Xenopus tropicalis: one gene and its partners. The protein of the gene in region 4 binds, or shares a complex with, the protein of the main gene of each other region. Links are inferred from orthologs where the notes say so. Each region holds a gene or a part of one and is shown on either strand. Other genes may lie near its edges.

What was found. The genes of interacting proteins can lie anywhere in the genome.
Region 1: tada3 (region 4) and taf4 share a complex: the UniProt entries of both Homo sapiens proteins name them as parts of the TFTC-HAT complex. The link is inferred for Xenopus tropicalis from reciprocal best matches to the Homo sapiens genes TADA3 and TAF4.
Region 2: tada3 (region 4) and wdr5 share a complex: the UniProt entries of both Homo sapiens proteins name them as parts of the ADA2A-containing complex. The link is inferred for Xenopus tropicalis from reciprocal best matches to the Homo sapiens genes TADA3 and WDR5.
Region 3: tada3 (region 4) and kat2a share a complex: the UniProt entries of both Homo sapiens proteins name them as parts of the STAGA transcription coactivator-HAT complex. The link is inferred for Xenopus tropicalis from reciprocal best matches to the Homo sapiens genes TADA3 and KAT2A.

Annotation. Positions count from the first base shown.
Region 1 is NC_030686.2:4,364,511-4,368,608, forward strand, and holds the end of taf4 (transcription initiation factor TFIID subunit 4), read right to left. Parts: intron 3,871-4,098; coding exon 3,745-3,870; intron 2,869-3,744; coding exon 2,812-2,868; intron 2,724-2,811; coding exon 2,604-2,723; intron 2,150-2,603; coding exon 1,982-2,149; 3' UTR 501-1,981; downstream 1-500. UniProt on the Homo sapiens protein: The TFIID basal transcription factor complex plays a major role in the initiation of RNA polymerase II (Pol II)-dependent transcription.
Region 2 is NC_030684.2:8,192,365-8,195,864, reverse strand, and holds part of wdr5 (WD repeat-containing protein 5), read left to right. Parts: intron 1-209; coding exon 210-265; intron 266-1,551; coding exon 1,552-1,598; intron 1,599-1,687; coding exon 1,688-1,763; intron 1,764-3,007; coding exon 3,008-3,041; intron 3,042-3,500.
Region 3 is NC_030686.2:6,944,232-6,947,731, forward strand, and holds part of kat2a (histone acetyltransferase KAT2A), read left to right. Parts: intron 1-1,291; coding exon 1,292-1,435; intron 1,436-1,939; coding exon 1,940-2,054; intron 2,055-2,162; coding exon 2,163-2,199; intron 2,200-2,899; coding exon 2,900-2,963; intron 2,964-3,500. UniProt on the Homo sapiens protein: Protein lysine acyltransferase that can act as a acetyltransferase, glutaryltransferase, succinyltransferase or malonyltransferase, depending on the context.
Region 4 is NC_030680.2:138,580,975-138,585,169, forward strand, and holds the start of tada3 (transcriptional adapter 3), read right to left. Parts: upstream 2,801-4,195; 5' UTR 2,613-2,800; intron 2,513-2,612; 5' UTR 2,371-2,512; intron 411-2,370; 5' UTR 393-410; coding exon 186-392; intron 1-185. UniProt on the Homo sapiens protein: Functions as a component of the PCAF complex. The PCAF complex is capable of efficiently acetylating histones in a nucleosomal context. The PCAF complex could be considered as the human version of the yeast SAGA complex.

The sequences.
Region 1 (4,098 bases), on a different chromosome or scaffold from region 4:
AGTTTGGATACAGGAACCTCCGAAAATAGAAAGAACCAATTAGTATATATTTTATTTTTAGTTTTTATTTTTTTTTTTTTATAATAAAAAAATAGATACAAAGAAGGGCGATTTTTTTCTGCTGTGGCGACGGAGGGTGGGGGAGGGGCTTGCCCCCAGAGCTTGCATACTGTTAATAAACCAAAAAATGATGGATTTACAGAATAATTTATGGTAGGATTGTGGGTAATGAGGTGCTACAAATTATCTACAGTGACTATGGAAACACCGGGGCTTCTATTGGTTCTGCCGTCGAATAGAGAGAAAGAAAAAAAGGGGGCGGAGCACTCGTCTTGGGTAGAAAAAAAAAAAAAACCCCAAAATATTTAAAACCTAAAACAGTGCAAAAAATATATATATTTATGCCATATACACTTTAATAAAAACCTCTCTTTGCCCCGGGGGGGCGGGGACACAATCGCTCACTTCCTGTACAGGTTAAAAACACTTTTTTTTTTTTCTTTAACGGTGGAAAATAATGATTTTTGTTTAAACAGAGGTTATTTTGGATATATATATATTTATATATAGGAAACAAAAAAAAACAAATATTAGAAATGCTGCTAAAATAAAGGCAAAGGGAGTGACGTTATAGTGAAAGCGATAAAAATCAATAAATACGGGACGGGGGGGGGCGGAGTCTCTGCCATCTGCAAAAAGAATCTGATGCAGGGAGTTGTTAACCCCCCCCTTGCTGTAAGCAGAGAAGGGGTTAAAGGAAAGGGGGAATTAAAAAAAATCACTGGCAGGGTTGGGGCACCGGATTGGCACCCCCAGTGATAGTAGCTGGTCACCTCCTGCCCTGGACTGGGGCAAATAGTCTTCAAAAAGACACAACAGTCTGGGGTACTTTATCCTTGGACTGGGGCTGCTACCCCTGGGGGCCCCCAAAACCAGCACCTCCCCCTTCTCAGGGGAGGGGAGTGGTGGGGCCCACTGGGTTTCCCCCAGGGTCCAGCTGACCCTGCCGCCATGTTTTCTGACCTGGAAGGACAGACTCACACTCAGCAAGGGCGGCCGGGGGATCCAAAATGGCTGCCAGGTACCAAAATGGTTGACAGTATGTGGTTTGGTACCGAACAGGCTGACCCAAAACTGACATTGGTTGCCATTCTACCCCCCAACAGTGAATAGAACTTTCCTTATGCAGCTGGGCTCCCCCCATCACTCACATCAGTGGGACAGTGTCCCCGTGCCCCACCCACCCCCCTCTGATGTCACCAAATAGGGCGGGGTCGCGTTCGGGTCTTTCAATCCCTTTTCAAGCTCGGCTCGGGCCCAGGATGAGAAGGGAGGACATGATTAATATTCAGTATAAAGTACCCCGGGCCGGTGCATTTGCATTGGCCTGGGGTAGGAGGTGAGCAATAAGAACCCCCTAAGGGGGCGGAGTTTTACCTAACAGCGCGTCACAGCCCCAGTGAGTTTAGGTTTACTTGCCCTTTAACAAGATTGATAAAACCGTACATAATAAAAAGAAAACCCTGATAACTCGGTACAGATCAGTGAAAACAAGTGCAGCACGGGGGGCCGGGGGGGCTCGGACGGTGGCAACGAGCAATCTCTCTATGGCTTGGATTTTTGCAGAAGGCAGTTTTCAACCTTGATTTGGATTTTTCCACATAATAATAATAATAATAAAAAATACAAAGACGATGCAGAACAAAAACGAGTCTTTTTCGCTCCTCGTTGGCGGCTGTGATCCTGCCCCGTCGGCGAAGGGTTAACGTGGTCTAATGGGGTTGGTTGGCATCGGCGGCGCCATCTTCAAACCATTATTGTCTCCAACAGACGATGAAGGAACAGGAAAAAATAAAAAGTTCTGCAGACGTGTCCGGCGAGAAGGGAGGGGGGGGCGCCTCTTTGAGGGGCAAAAATAAAAACCGACAGATAATGAACAAAAATACCTTGATCTTTCCCATTTTGTGGAGTTCTGTGAGTCTCACTTAAGGAATGCTTTGTATAGCAATAGTGAATGGCTTGTCTCTCGCTCGCTCTCCAAGCATAAAATGAGGTCCCTGAGATTGACCCGCGTTATCCTTTGTCGTGTAAACTGTCGGCTGCCCCCTCCCGCCGAACTGCTGGCCGTGGCGGTACTTGTGCTGGACGACTGGCGGGAGAAAGAAAAGGGCAAGTTAAGCCGCGGTAAGTATCCCTTATAATACATGAGTGATACTCAGAGTTCCCTGTATAACTCAGCCTGCAGCCTTGTGCCTTTATATGGGGGGCACAGAACCCCTCAGTGACTGCTAATATCCTTATCATTTACAGTAGGGGGTACATTATCCCTTATAATACATGAGTGATACTCAGAGTTCCCTGTATAACTCAGCCTGCAGCCTTGTGCCTTTATATGGGGGGCACAGAACCCCTCAGTGACTGCTAATATCCTTATCATTTACAGTAGGGGGTACATTATCCCTTATAATACATGAGTGATACTCAGAGTTCCCTGTATAACTCAGCCTGCAGCCTTGTGCCTTTATATGGGGGGCACAGAACCCCTCAGTGACTGCTAATATCCTTATAATATACAACAGGGGGCGCATTACATATACACTGACCTCTGAACCAGAACCAGGGCCCGGTGATTCAACTTTCCTCTTTTTTCGAGGGCCAATAGCTGCTAGCGCTGTTAAGTTGGCGTCTCTCTGCCTCATTTGTGCCAGTTCCTGCTGTTGCATCTATGGAAGGAGAAGAAGATGTATTTAATCCTTACCCTCGGTATTTGGGGGTACGGTTGGTACGGCTATATCCAATCAACGCACTCACCTCTTTCGCCTTCTGTTTTAACCGCAACTGTTCTGGATCCTCCTGCCTTGACCGAGACTGCGCAAGGGGCAAAAAAATGAACAATATGTCAGTTTCTACCAATAAACAGTCCTGAAGGAAAATCCTGAAAGCCCAGAATTCCACTGACCCCCAAATTCTCAGCAACTTTTCCATTGGTCTTCATTATTTATTTATAATCGTTTTTGAATTATTTGTCTCTGCCTCTCTAGAGCTTTAAAATGGGGGGGGGGGGGGTCACTGACCCCGGCAGTCAAAAAACTATTGCTCTGTGAGGCCACTCTGTATTCAGGTTCTATCCTCTATCCATATACCAGTCTCTGATTCGAACCACACACTGGTTGCCAAGGTAATTAGGACCCTAGCAACCAGTTACTGAAACAAAGTGAAATCATTAAAAAACAAATAAAAAAAATGAAGACCAATGGTCTCAGAATATTACTCTCTACGTCGTACTAAGAATTAAGTCAAAGGAAAACGTGACTGCACCATGGATTAAAGGGAAAATAAACCAGATATCAAAGCAGGGGTTAAACACTCTACTGACCTGGTGATGTTATGGTATAAGGATATTCAGGGAGCCCGATCAGTCTGCATATTAGGCTGAACACACAAGGGGCTACTTAGTAGCAGCTACTAAAACAGACAATAATGATCATTTACTGATAATTGCCCCTATGTGTGTTTAGCAGAGGCAATTCTCAGTATTGTCTATGGCAGGGGATTTTCTGGCGTTTAGTAGTCGTGACAAGTAGCTGCTACTAAGTAGCTCTGTGTGTCTTCATCCTTCGTGTTTCTTCATATTAGTGGAAACAGCCATGATTGAGGCATACAGAAGTACAATAGGAAAACAGTGCCCCCTAGCGGCCGCAGAGCATAAAGCCTTGGATACTTTGGATAATGAAAGGCACTGACCTTAGCTGCCCGCATTAGAATCTCCCGCTCCTGCTCGTCTTTCCTCTGCTTCTCTATCTGATCGAGCTGCTCGAAGAATTTGAGTTGTGTCCGTACGTCACTTGTTTGTTCATACCGATCGTCATCCTGGCAAAGGGACGGGGGAAACAGTGAACACAATGAACCCGTTTGCAACTTGTTACAGCTTTCTGTCATAGAGGAGCTACCATAGCGCTTCCCTTAGATTGGGATCCCCATTCTTTTTTTACTCTTGATCATGAAAAAGGTTCTTTGGGGCTTCCACATAAGGGCTGTGATTGGCTCTTTAGTAGCCACCCAGTGGCTCTGCTTGGAGTAAAACTGTGTCTCTGGGCT
Region 2 (3,500 bases), on a different chromosome or scaffold from region 4:
GCCACCCTATCCCCTCTGTTCTCTCACCTCTGCTGTTTTGGTTTCACATTACAGCAAACTGTTTCCAATGGGAAAACACATTCTCACGTTTCTCTTCTATGTCTGGAGAGAATTTTTTTTTTCTTTGCCACAAGGGAATAGAACTCAAGGGTTTCAATCGGCATCTGTCAGGCTCTTTCATATTTACCTCTCTGCCCCTCCCGTTACAGGTGCATTTTAATCGCGACGGTTCCCTCATTGTATCCAGTAGCTACGATGGTTTGTGGTGAGCGACTTTTACCCTTGTTTTGCTGTCCCCCCCCCCCCCCAAACCCTTGCACTAGGGATGCACCAAACCCAGGTTTTCGGGTTCGACCAAACCCCCAAATCCATCGTAAGGGATTGGCTGAATACCGAACCAAATCCTAATTAGAAGGGTTAAATGTCGCACGTGGCGAAACATTTTCCACTTCCGTGTTCACGTGGTGACATTTAACCCTTCCAAATCGGTTTGGCCAGGACCGTGGATTCGGCCGAATACTGAACCTATTCCTGGATTGGGTGCCTCCCTACCTTGCACCCAACTGCCTCTCTTGGGGTGAAACTACTTGGCACATTATACCAGGAAGGTGTCTTTAAAAATAAAAGCCTTGAAGGGTTGGTTCACCTTTTTAGTATGTTATAGAACGGCCAATTATTTACCTTCTTCTAAAGACCCCCAACTTTCAAATGGGGGGGGGGTCACTGACCCCGGCAGCCAAAAAGCAATTGCTCTCTGAGGCTACAGTTCATAATGTAATTTTTATCGTTTTACTGTTCAGATCCTTTCTTCTTCATCTTCCTCCCTGGTTACTAAGGTAACTTGAACCCTAGCAACCAGATAACTGCTATAGTTTCAAACTGGAGTCTTGCTAAACAAAAAGTGAAATGATTAAAAAAAAAAAAACCACATAATAAAAATATGAAGGAAGAATCGATATTTATACACAGTAAAACAAGTGGGAAGAATAAAGCCATTCGCACATTTAATGGCTGTCGTTCCAAAAGGGGTTGTTCACTTTTGAGTTGGATTTTCAGCAGTTATCTGGTTGCTTGGGTCCACTTTACCTTAGCAACCAGGGAATGGTTTGAAAGTGTGACTGATATATGAATAGGGGAGGGGCTGAAAAGAAAGATAAGGAATAAAAAGTAACAATAAAACTGGAGCCTCACAGAGCAATAGGGTTTTTGGTGGCCGGGGTCAGTGACCCCCATTTGAAAGCTGGAAAGAGTGAGAAGGGAAATAATTCAAAAAGTATAAAAAATAAAGACCAATTTAAAAGTTGCTTAGAATTAGCCATTCTATTACATATCAAAAGTGAAATTAATCATTGTGATTGGCACCACCTTATTACACTTTGCCGTTAGTAGAACATTTACTGTACAGATTTTTTCAAAACTTAATAAATTGCATGAACCCCAGCAATAACCTGCCTACAGAGCTTGCACTTCATTTTATACCATCAGCATTCTTTATATCTATTTGCAGTGTTTTATTCCAATTGTAAATGTTTTGTTGCCTTTTAATCTTAGCCGAATATGGGACACAGCCTCAGGACAGTGTTTGAAAACACTCATTGGTACGTGGCTTATTTATTTATTGTTTTGTCCTTATTTATTTTTGTCCAGTTTCATATTTAAACGTAATTCTCCTTTTCATCCTTTTTAGATGACGATAATCCTCCAGTATCTTTTGTGAAGTTTTCTCCCAACGGCAAATACATTTTAGCAGCAACCCTAGACAAGTAAGTAGCACTGCAAAGGCATTACCGACACTGAAAGGATTTTCAACAGCTGTCTGGTTGCTAGGGTCCAATTTAACCTAGCAACCAGGCAGCGGTTTGAAAGCGACAGGAATATAAATAGAGGAGGGCCTAAATAGATGATGATGATGATAATAAGAAGTAACAACACAATTATAGCCGCACAGAGCAATAGTTTTTTGACTGTGACCCCCATTTGAAAGCTGGAAAGAGTCAGAAGAACAAGGCAAATAACTCAAAAACTATAACAAATAATAAAATGAAGACCAATTGAAAACATATTAAGAAAATACTATTCTATAACATAACGAAAGTTAACCTGAAGGCAAATACTGTTTAAATGCAGCCGTACATGGGCTTGACTGGTAATGGCTCTCTACCCAATCGGCCCAATAGCCAAACGGATGGTGAGTGTTCAGTTTGTTTATGCAGAGCTCACTAATGATTAGAACTGCGGAAAGTAAAGAAGAGCTGTAGCTAATCAATATGTAGCCGACGTGGGGGATCGGCAAATAAAATTTCTTGATGGACAGATACCAAAAGTACATGGATCTGCAGGTCATCGTGTATGTACCAATAATGGTACAAAGCTTCAATATTATTGGTCTGCATTGCATTGGTCCCTAGGGGTGCTGTTTAAAGGGGTAGTTCACCTATAAATTAGCTCTTAGTGTGTTGTAGACATTGATACTCTGAGACAATTTTGAATTGGTTGAAATTTTCCCGTTATTTAGCCTCTGTTCAGCAGTTCTCCAGTTTGGAATTTCAGCATCTATCTGGTTGCTATGGTCGTGTTTACCTTAGCAACCAGGCAGTGGTTTGAATGAGAGACAGGATTAGGAATAGGACAGGATATGAATATAAAGATAAGGAATAAAAATGAACCAGAAAATTGTAAGCTCACGAAGCAAAAATTTCCTTTCTGCTGGGGTCAGTGGCCCACGTTTGGAAGATGTACAAGGGAGGCAAATAATTCAAAAACTATACAATAAATAAATAATGAAGGCCAATTGCAAAGTTGCTAGGAATAGGGCACAAATTGAAATTGGTCACAAATCAAACATTCAGGGAGCTGCAATGCTCCTCTTAGAAGCCATTGTCCATTTTTGAGAGATAGCCACTCCCTTCTCACAGTATCTTGGCAAATAGGAATTAGAAAGATCTTTTTGCCCGTTTCTCCTGTTCAAGGTGAGATCCTTATCATGTTACCTGTTTTGTCTTTGCAGTACACTCAAATTGTGGGATTACAGCAAAGGGAAGGTGAGTGTGACTGATGCTCCAGCTGCCAGCACTTTATTTTTACCCCTGAACAAATAGTAATTAGACTTTATTTTGTTCATGAAAAACCACAGAAGACTAGTATTTGCCCCCCCCCCCCCCCAATGCTCTCAGTTATCTTGCTCTAATTGGTTACAAATGTTCCAGTTCTAAAATTAGCCTTAGCTGACTGGTCCTTCTGTGTTTGTTTAATTTTAGCCACATTAGGCTTGGGTTATTTGGGTCCAGTTTGTTCCCTTACTGGATTCCGTTTCCCCGAAGAAAGCTGGCTGTTCCCTTTATAAAGGGATACTGCCATGGTATTTATGGGGCACTTTTTATTTCTAAATGACACTGTTACGCAGAAAATAATTCCCTCTGCCATTTAACCTTTTATTCTTGTACCAACAAATGTATTTGTAGCTGTAATATTGGTGTGTAGGCGCCATCTCAGTGCCTTGT
Region 3 (3,500 bases), on a different chromosome or scaffold from region 4:
AAGAAAGATAGAAAAAAAAAAAAAAAAGTGTAAGTGTAAGTGTGTGTGTGAGTGTCTGTGTGTGCTTGGGAAAGTTGTAAATAAGTGTGTATGTGTACAAAAGTGTAATAATGACAAAGATAGAAGAAAAAATTGAAAAAAAAAAAAAAAAAAATTTTTAGACAGTTGAGATCGAAATAAGCAAAATAAACAGTGGTAGAGAGTTGTAGTTCAGCTTACCCAAGGCAGGCAGGCGATCAGGGGCGACCAATCTGGCAGGAAGGCAGCAGGAAGGCAGCAGGGGAGCTCCATCAGGTCCGAAGTGCGCAGCAGGAATGAGGAGCCGACAGTAGGCGGCGCTATTTAAAGGGACAGCAGTGGACACGTCATCATCGCGTGTCCACTGCTGTCATTGGCTGGCGACGCGATCGTGGGACCGGATCGGTGAGTATGACTGTCTCTGCTCGTTGCCTAGGGGGTTGTGAAGGGTTTACAAGCGCTGCGCTGCTTTAAAAGCGAGCGCAGCGCTTGTAAACCTGATAGTGCTGTAGGACGTAGATTCTACGTCCTGTGGCACTTTGGTCCTTTGCTACCCAGGACGTAGAATCTACGTCCCATGGCACTAAAAGGGTTAAAGGGGAAGTTCACCTTTGGCAACTTTTCAATTGCTTTTTCTTCTGACTTTCCAGCTTTCAAATGGGACCCCCCGGCAGCCAAAAAAACTATTGCTCTGTGAGGCTACAGTTTATTTGTTATTGTTACTTTATATTAATTATTTTTCTATTCAGGTCATCTCCTATTCCTATATCGTTTTTTCATTCAAAGCACACCCAGGTTGCTAAGGTAATTTGGGCCCCAGCAACCAAATAGCTGCTGAAACTCCAAGCTGTAGAGCTGCTGACCAAAACCTGAAATAATTAAAAAACTACAAATGGTAGAAAATGAAGACCAATTGCAAAGTGTCTCAGAATATTACTCTCTACATCAGACTAAAAGTTAACTCGAAGGTGGATAACCCCTCTCTTAACAATCGTTCAGGAAGAACCATCTTTAAATTAATATAAGATAGCTGGGTTTAGATGCATGAGTACTTGGGGCACAAGTGAGTGGGAGCTGGGACACGGCTGTAGGAGACTCACCTACACTAGAACATGTCAGTTGTTTTCTTATATTGGCCAAGAATACATTTTTGGGTTTATATGCCCTGCCTATGAATTCTCCGTATCCCTGCCTTTTACTCCGTATGTCTTTCTATCCACTCGTCGTCACCCTTCTAGTTTTCTTAGGTTTTTTTTTTTGTGTGTCCTTCCAGGGATTTTCCAAGGACATCAAAGTTCCAAAAAGTCGTTACTTGGGGTACATCAAGGATTACGAGGGAGCCACTTTAATGGAGTGTGAACTGAACCCCAGAATACCTTATACAGAACTCTCCCACATAATCAAAAAGCAAAAGGAGGTAAATGGGCGTCATTTTGTGCTGTTTTTTGCTTTTTGTTTTTATAGTGGCAAGATGCCTAAATATATATGTTTCTGGGAATGATGGCAAAGATAGTAGTTGCTCAAACTTATACTTATTTGACCTTATAATGTCAAACATTGGCCTCTAGGGGGTCTGTTGTCATGAAAATAAGTAATATTTGCACTAAACATCCCCAGACATTGTTCTAGAGCAGGGGTGGCCAAACTTTTTGGCTCAGGGGCCACATTGACTTACCGCCGGGCCAGTGTTACGGCGTTTCTGCTCGTCAGTCCCCAGACGCCAAGTCTTGAATGATGAGACTTGCGGAGTCGGCATGCCGGATTAAACGGACCAAGGGGCCGGACGTGGCCCGCGGGCTGTAGTTTGCCCACCCCCTGTTCTAGAGACATAATTGGATTATTTAATATCCTTTTACCATAGCACGTCTCTATATGATTTCTACTCTTGGCTTTTTTTTCATCACATTCCCTCATTTTGCAGATAATAAAGAAGCTTATTGAACGCAGGCACGCTCAGATCCGCAAAGTCTATCCTGGCCTTACGTGTTTTAAAGAAGGCCTCCGACAGATCCCAGTGGAGTGCATTCCCGGAATACGTAAGTTGGTCACTGTAAAGCATCTCCAAAAACAAGTGCATAATAATAATAACGCGGAGTAAAAGGCAATAAGGATAAGTCAAATATGTATTTATATTTTTTTTGTAGGAGAGACCGGCTGGAAACCAGCATGTAAAGACAAAGGGTAAGTATTACAACATTACCCATTAACACCCTCTAGAAAGCCAGTCAAATGTGGTTTGTTTTACTATAATAATACAACACTGTATTGAGGTAATAGAAACAGGCAGTTTGCTTCATAATCAACCTTATTTCATTGTCATCTTTGAATAATAGTTTGTATTACTTAAGTACTTAAATTAGCTAAGGCTTCACTAGTGTTGTGTCTAATGCACCTCTGGATATTTAACTTTCATGTGTTTTCACTACTCAGGATAGGGGGTTTGGGTTGTTGGAGAAGGACAGTACATGTATGGGACCTGTTACCTAGATTGCTTGGGACCTGTGGTTTCTGGATAAGGGATCTTCCTGTAATTTCAATCTGCATACCTGCTAAAAAAAAAAATCATTTAAACATTAATTAAACTGGTTAGAATTGCTTAACCTCCAATTAAGTTAAATTATCTCAGTTAAAATCAAGTACAAGATATAGAGAAGAAAATTTATAACATTTTGAATTATTTGATCAAAACGGAGTCTATGGGAAAAGGCCGTCCTGTATTTTGAAGCTTTCTGGATAATGGTTTCCCAGATAACGGATCCCATACCTGTATCAGTGAATAACTGTTACCCTGGTGCATTTATACACATCTTGACAGTGCAGTAGTACTAGTGCTAATGAGCTTTGATATGTTTCAATTAATGTATACTCTCTGTGTGCTCAGGAAAGAGATTAAAGACCCAGACCAGCTGTATAACATCCTGAAGAACCTTCTAGCACAAATCAAAGTAAGGGACTGCATTTGGAATATGGTTTCTGACTATTGATCCACTTGGCAAACGATACAACACACATACTTGGCCAGATTTGGTTGGTCATCTGGCTATACAGACAAGGGCTTATTACATACTTTTGGGGGTGCCAAAATATTAGCCCCCCCCCTACCCAGTGATTGTAATCACTTACCTTATACACCGGGTTGGGAGAAAACCGCAACTGTCCAGGGTAGCTGCGAGGGAGCGATCTTCCTCCTGCCTTCTTGCTTCACTATCCTGGGCCGATGCATTCGCAGCAGAGTGAAAAAGCTGACTTTTTGGTTGAAGTTCGGCTTTTCACTCTACTTTTATTCCAAAGTTGCGCAAAGTTTCCTTCTGAAGCAACTTCGTGTGACTTCGGAAAACTGAAGCAATGCGAACTGCTTTTCACCAACAACTCCTATTGTTGCGAGTGGGAAGCCATTTCAAAGATCTATTGCGGGCGACTGAACCGCTTTGTGGGTTATTACCCTTACCATACCTGATTAAACAGCCCTAGAAACTCCCTCT
Region 4 (4,195 bases):
ACAATAAATATAACGGGCAGCATATGCAGCATTTTGCCATCTGAAGATTTATACCAACTCAAACCTATAGACATTCCTACTGGGCATGAAACCCTCCTACACAAGGGCATATTCCTTCATGCCAAGTACACTGGGCAGCCACTGCTGAGGGACGGGTGCTCTACATTTAACCCCCTGATTTTTACCTGGGTCTCCGCTTCCAGAACACGGAGCCTCCTGCTTGCAGAGGACAGTAGGGTTTCCAGCTCCAGCTGAAGGGTATCCAGCTCCTCAATCCCGATTCCGTCATCCTCGGAGCGGGACAGAACTGCGGTGTATCTGGGGCACAACTTGACATGGTCCACAGATTTGAAGTCATGGAACTGGAGAGGGCAATCCTTTAACTCGCTCATTCTGCCAAGGCTGGCGGCCTGCAACAAAGAATAATACAAAAGGTTAAGATAATTTTTTTTTTAGAATACAACCTCTGCATTATTTGAGTGCAAGCCCTTTTTCTCTATTTAGTGCGCTGAAGAATCTACTGTTGGACCTAGGCCAACTCCCATCAGCCCCTTATTTCCACCTAGCCATATACAACACCTATAACATTGTTTTGTTTTAAAAGGGGGCCCTATGGAGGGCCAAGTCTGACCCTGGTCTAATATGATACACCAGCAAAAATGCAAGAGCTCAAAAATCCCCCCTCTGAAATAAACAGCGAATCCCTTCTTAAACCTAGAATACATGCATATGTTGCACCAACACAAATGTATGCAACCATACTCTGCAGCACCAATAGGCAACAAGCCATACCACATGTGCATACTGTTCACCAATGCTGTAATGCAGGTGAATGCGGTACCCCCAATACACTAAGATGAATATATCATCTATACTCTGCAGCACTAATGCACGTGTATATTGTTCTGTACCCCAAAATACCAGGACTGTCTGTGCACCTATAGCCTGCAGCACTAATGCATTTGTATATTGCAGCCTTCATACCCTGCAGCACTAATACATGTGTATATTACAGCCTTCATGTACCCATACCCTGCAGCACAAATGCATTTGTATATTTTAGCCTCCATACCCTGCAGCACTAATGCATGTGTATATTGCAGCCTCCATACCCTGCAGCACTAATGCATGTGTATATTGCAGCCTCCATACCCTGCAGCACTAATGCATGTGTATATTGCATCCTCCATACCCTGCAGCACTAATGCATGTGTATATTGCATCCTCCATACCCTGCAGCACTAATGCATGTGTATATTGCAGCCTCCATACCCTGCAGCACTAATGCATGTGTACATTGCAGCCTCCATACCCTGCAGCACTATGCAGCACTAATGCATGTCTACATTGCAGCCTCCATACCCTGCAGCACTAATGCATGTGTATATTGCAGCCTCCATACCCTGCAGCACTAATGCATGTGTATATTGCAGCCTCCATACCCTGCAGCACTAATGCATGTGTATATTGCAGCCTCCATACCCTGCAGCACTAATGCATGTGTATACTGCAGCCTCCATACCCTGCAGCACTAATGCATGTGTATACTGCAGCCTCCAAACCCTGCAGCACTAATGCATGTGTATATTGCATCCTCCAAACCCTGCAGCACTAATGCATGTGTATATTGCATCCTCCATACCCTGCAGCACTAATGCATGTGTATATTGCAGCCTCCAAACCCTGCAGCACTAATGCATGTGTATATTGCATCCTCCAAACCCTGCAGCACTAATGCATGTGTATATTGCATCCTCCAAACCCTGCAGCACTAATGCATGTGTATATTGCAGCCTCCAAACCCTGCAGCACTAATGCATGTGTATAGTGCAGCCTCCATACCCTGCAGCACTAATGCATGTGTATATTGCAGCCTCCATACCCTGCAGCACTAATGCATGTGTATATTTTAGCCTCCATACCCTGCAGCACTACTGCATGTGTATATTGCAGCCTCCATACCCTGCAGCACTAATGCACAGCCAGCTGTAATGGCCGGCCATACTGTACCCCAATGCCCCAGTACTATTGATAAGTGCACCCATACCCCCAATGCACAACAGGCTATAGGGCAGGTGTATACTGTATGCCTATGCAGGAGCAGTAACACTATGCACCTGTGCCCTGGGGTAGGGGTTATTACTAATAACCCCTTATGTACAGGTAACTGCTCTCCAGTTGCTGCAGAACTGGCGCTTTGCGAAAGGGGCGGCTGGGAGTTGTAGTCCTATTCTATTACAGCAGGGGAGTAAACGTATTTAGTAGCCTATGGCTACCAAATGACGCATTGTTACAGGTACTCTCCGCATATAACGCAAGCACTGAGCCCCCACGCACGGTATATACCGACACCACACAATATGCCCGTACCCACACTCCGGCCTGGCCCCCTCAATGGATCCTGCTCCTGCGCTCGTTTCCTTTGTCTCCCAACGGCCAGTAGGGGGCAGAGCCAAGCTCCTCACGCAAGGCCGCCACTGTCACCGCCTGTCAGTCACCCGGGAGCGTACCACTGCGGAAAAACAAATAGGGGTGTCAGTAAATGGGGAACAACTAATAAGGCTGGAATAGGCCGTTGAGCACAATAACCCGTTCTTAGGGAACGTTCTTACCACAAGCGCCTAATGGGTTCACGTCCACAAGGCACAATCTCTTTTAAGCACCCATTTTGTGCCCCGATGGAATCAACCATAGAGAAGAATCGTACTTGGCGCGCAATGGCGGCATTGGGAAGGCTTAGCCTGTGGGCTCCCGTAGTATTACTATTGATGTGCAGCTGTGATAGATCCGCAGGTATCTGGTATCATAAGCCTCTAGCAGTCGTGATAACAATCTCTCTCATGAATACCTTGTAAGAAATTTCTCCCGGTCGCTCATGTTCTGTTTGTACACCCCCTAAACCCCACTTTGGTCTGACCCGCCTGCATTCCACATTCCCTAATATGGCGTGAAGCGGGGCGAGCCGGACCATTTTCAAGAGGAGGGTGCACACCGGGTAAATTCATATAGTATTGCTTTTTATACGTATATGAGAATAATAATGTAACAAGAACGGAACTGAGATATGCTTATGTGTATATCCACAGCCCAAGCGGCTAAATTAATCTACATGGTTTAAGTATAAATGTTCGCCCAACCCCAGTTTATGATGGTTTAGTCCGACCGCTGGCTGTGCCAGTGAGGGGGAAGAGAGGTAGTGCGCATGTGCGAGTCTGTCACTTCCGCTATCGGGGGATACCGGAGCGATGGTGAGTGTGAGGGGCGGGGGGTTTTACGGAGAAATTGACACGAAAGAGCGACAACAGTCCGGGATAGAGAACCGGGCTATAGGCCGCCTGTGTTTGCCATGCTAAGCCCGTGGGTCGAGCAGGGAGCGGTGCAGGGGCGGCTTAGGGAACCGGTCTTGGGCGGGGGCCCGGCGTAGGAATGTTCATAAGACGCGGTGTATTCCTTACATTCATACAGTGATCCCTCTGTAATACTAAGGAAGACTGTGCGGAACTACAACTAAACGTCCTTCCCATAGGGGATTAAGCGAATCCCTCCATAGGCATTGCCTGCCTGACATCTGTATAGTGAGAGCTGCAGTTCCGCAACACTCGCCCAACCTGTAACTGCCTGTTGGCACTGCCACCGGCGGGACTTTCATTTTATTCAGCTTTAAGGCAATGTATGTGCTAGTGAGAGCGGGGTTTGCTCCATTCTCTCTGATTCCTGCACTGCCGGCTCTCACTATTGACACTTTGTATCTGAAGCCAGCTGAGGCATTGCCCATACACGCAGCAGGAGAGCTTGGCTTCTGCTACATTGTTGTAAGAGTGAGAATAACCTTGATTGCTTTTTAATTGCAATGACTGCTAATAGACAGTTGGCTAGGCAACATTTCAATTCTGGGATTACTTCCCCTTTAAAATATGTGGGTGTCTTTACTGGAGCAAGAACTGTCCTTTGGGCAGGTTGTGAGTTTCTACTTATGATTGACTGGTTTTGTTTATTTTCTTATCACTGGCTTGCCCATAGCACTTGTGTATCTTGAGCAGGGATCCCCAACCTTTTTGTTTTTACCTGTGAGCCACAGTCAGATGTAAAAAGAGTTGGGGAGCAACACAAGCCTAAAAAATGTCAATCCAAATATAGAGGAGAGCACCATAAAGCAGAATTCTGCTCAAATGCTATTTATTTCAGACCAAAATAC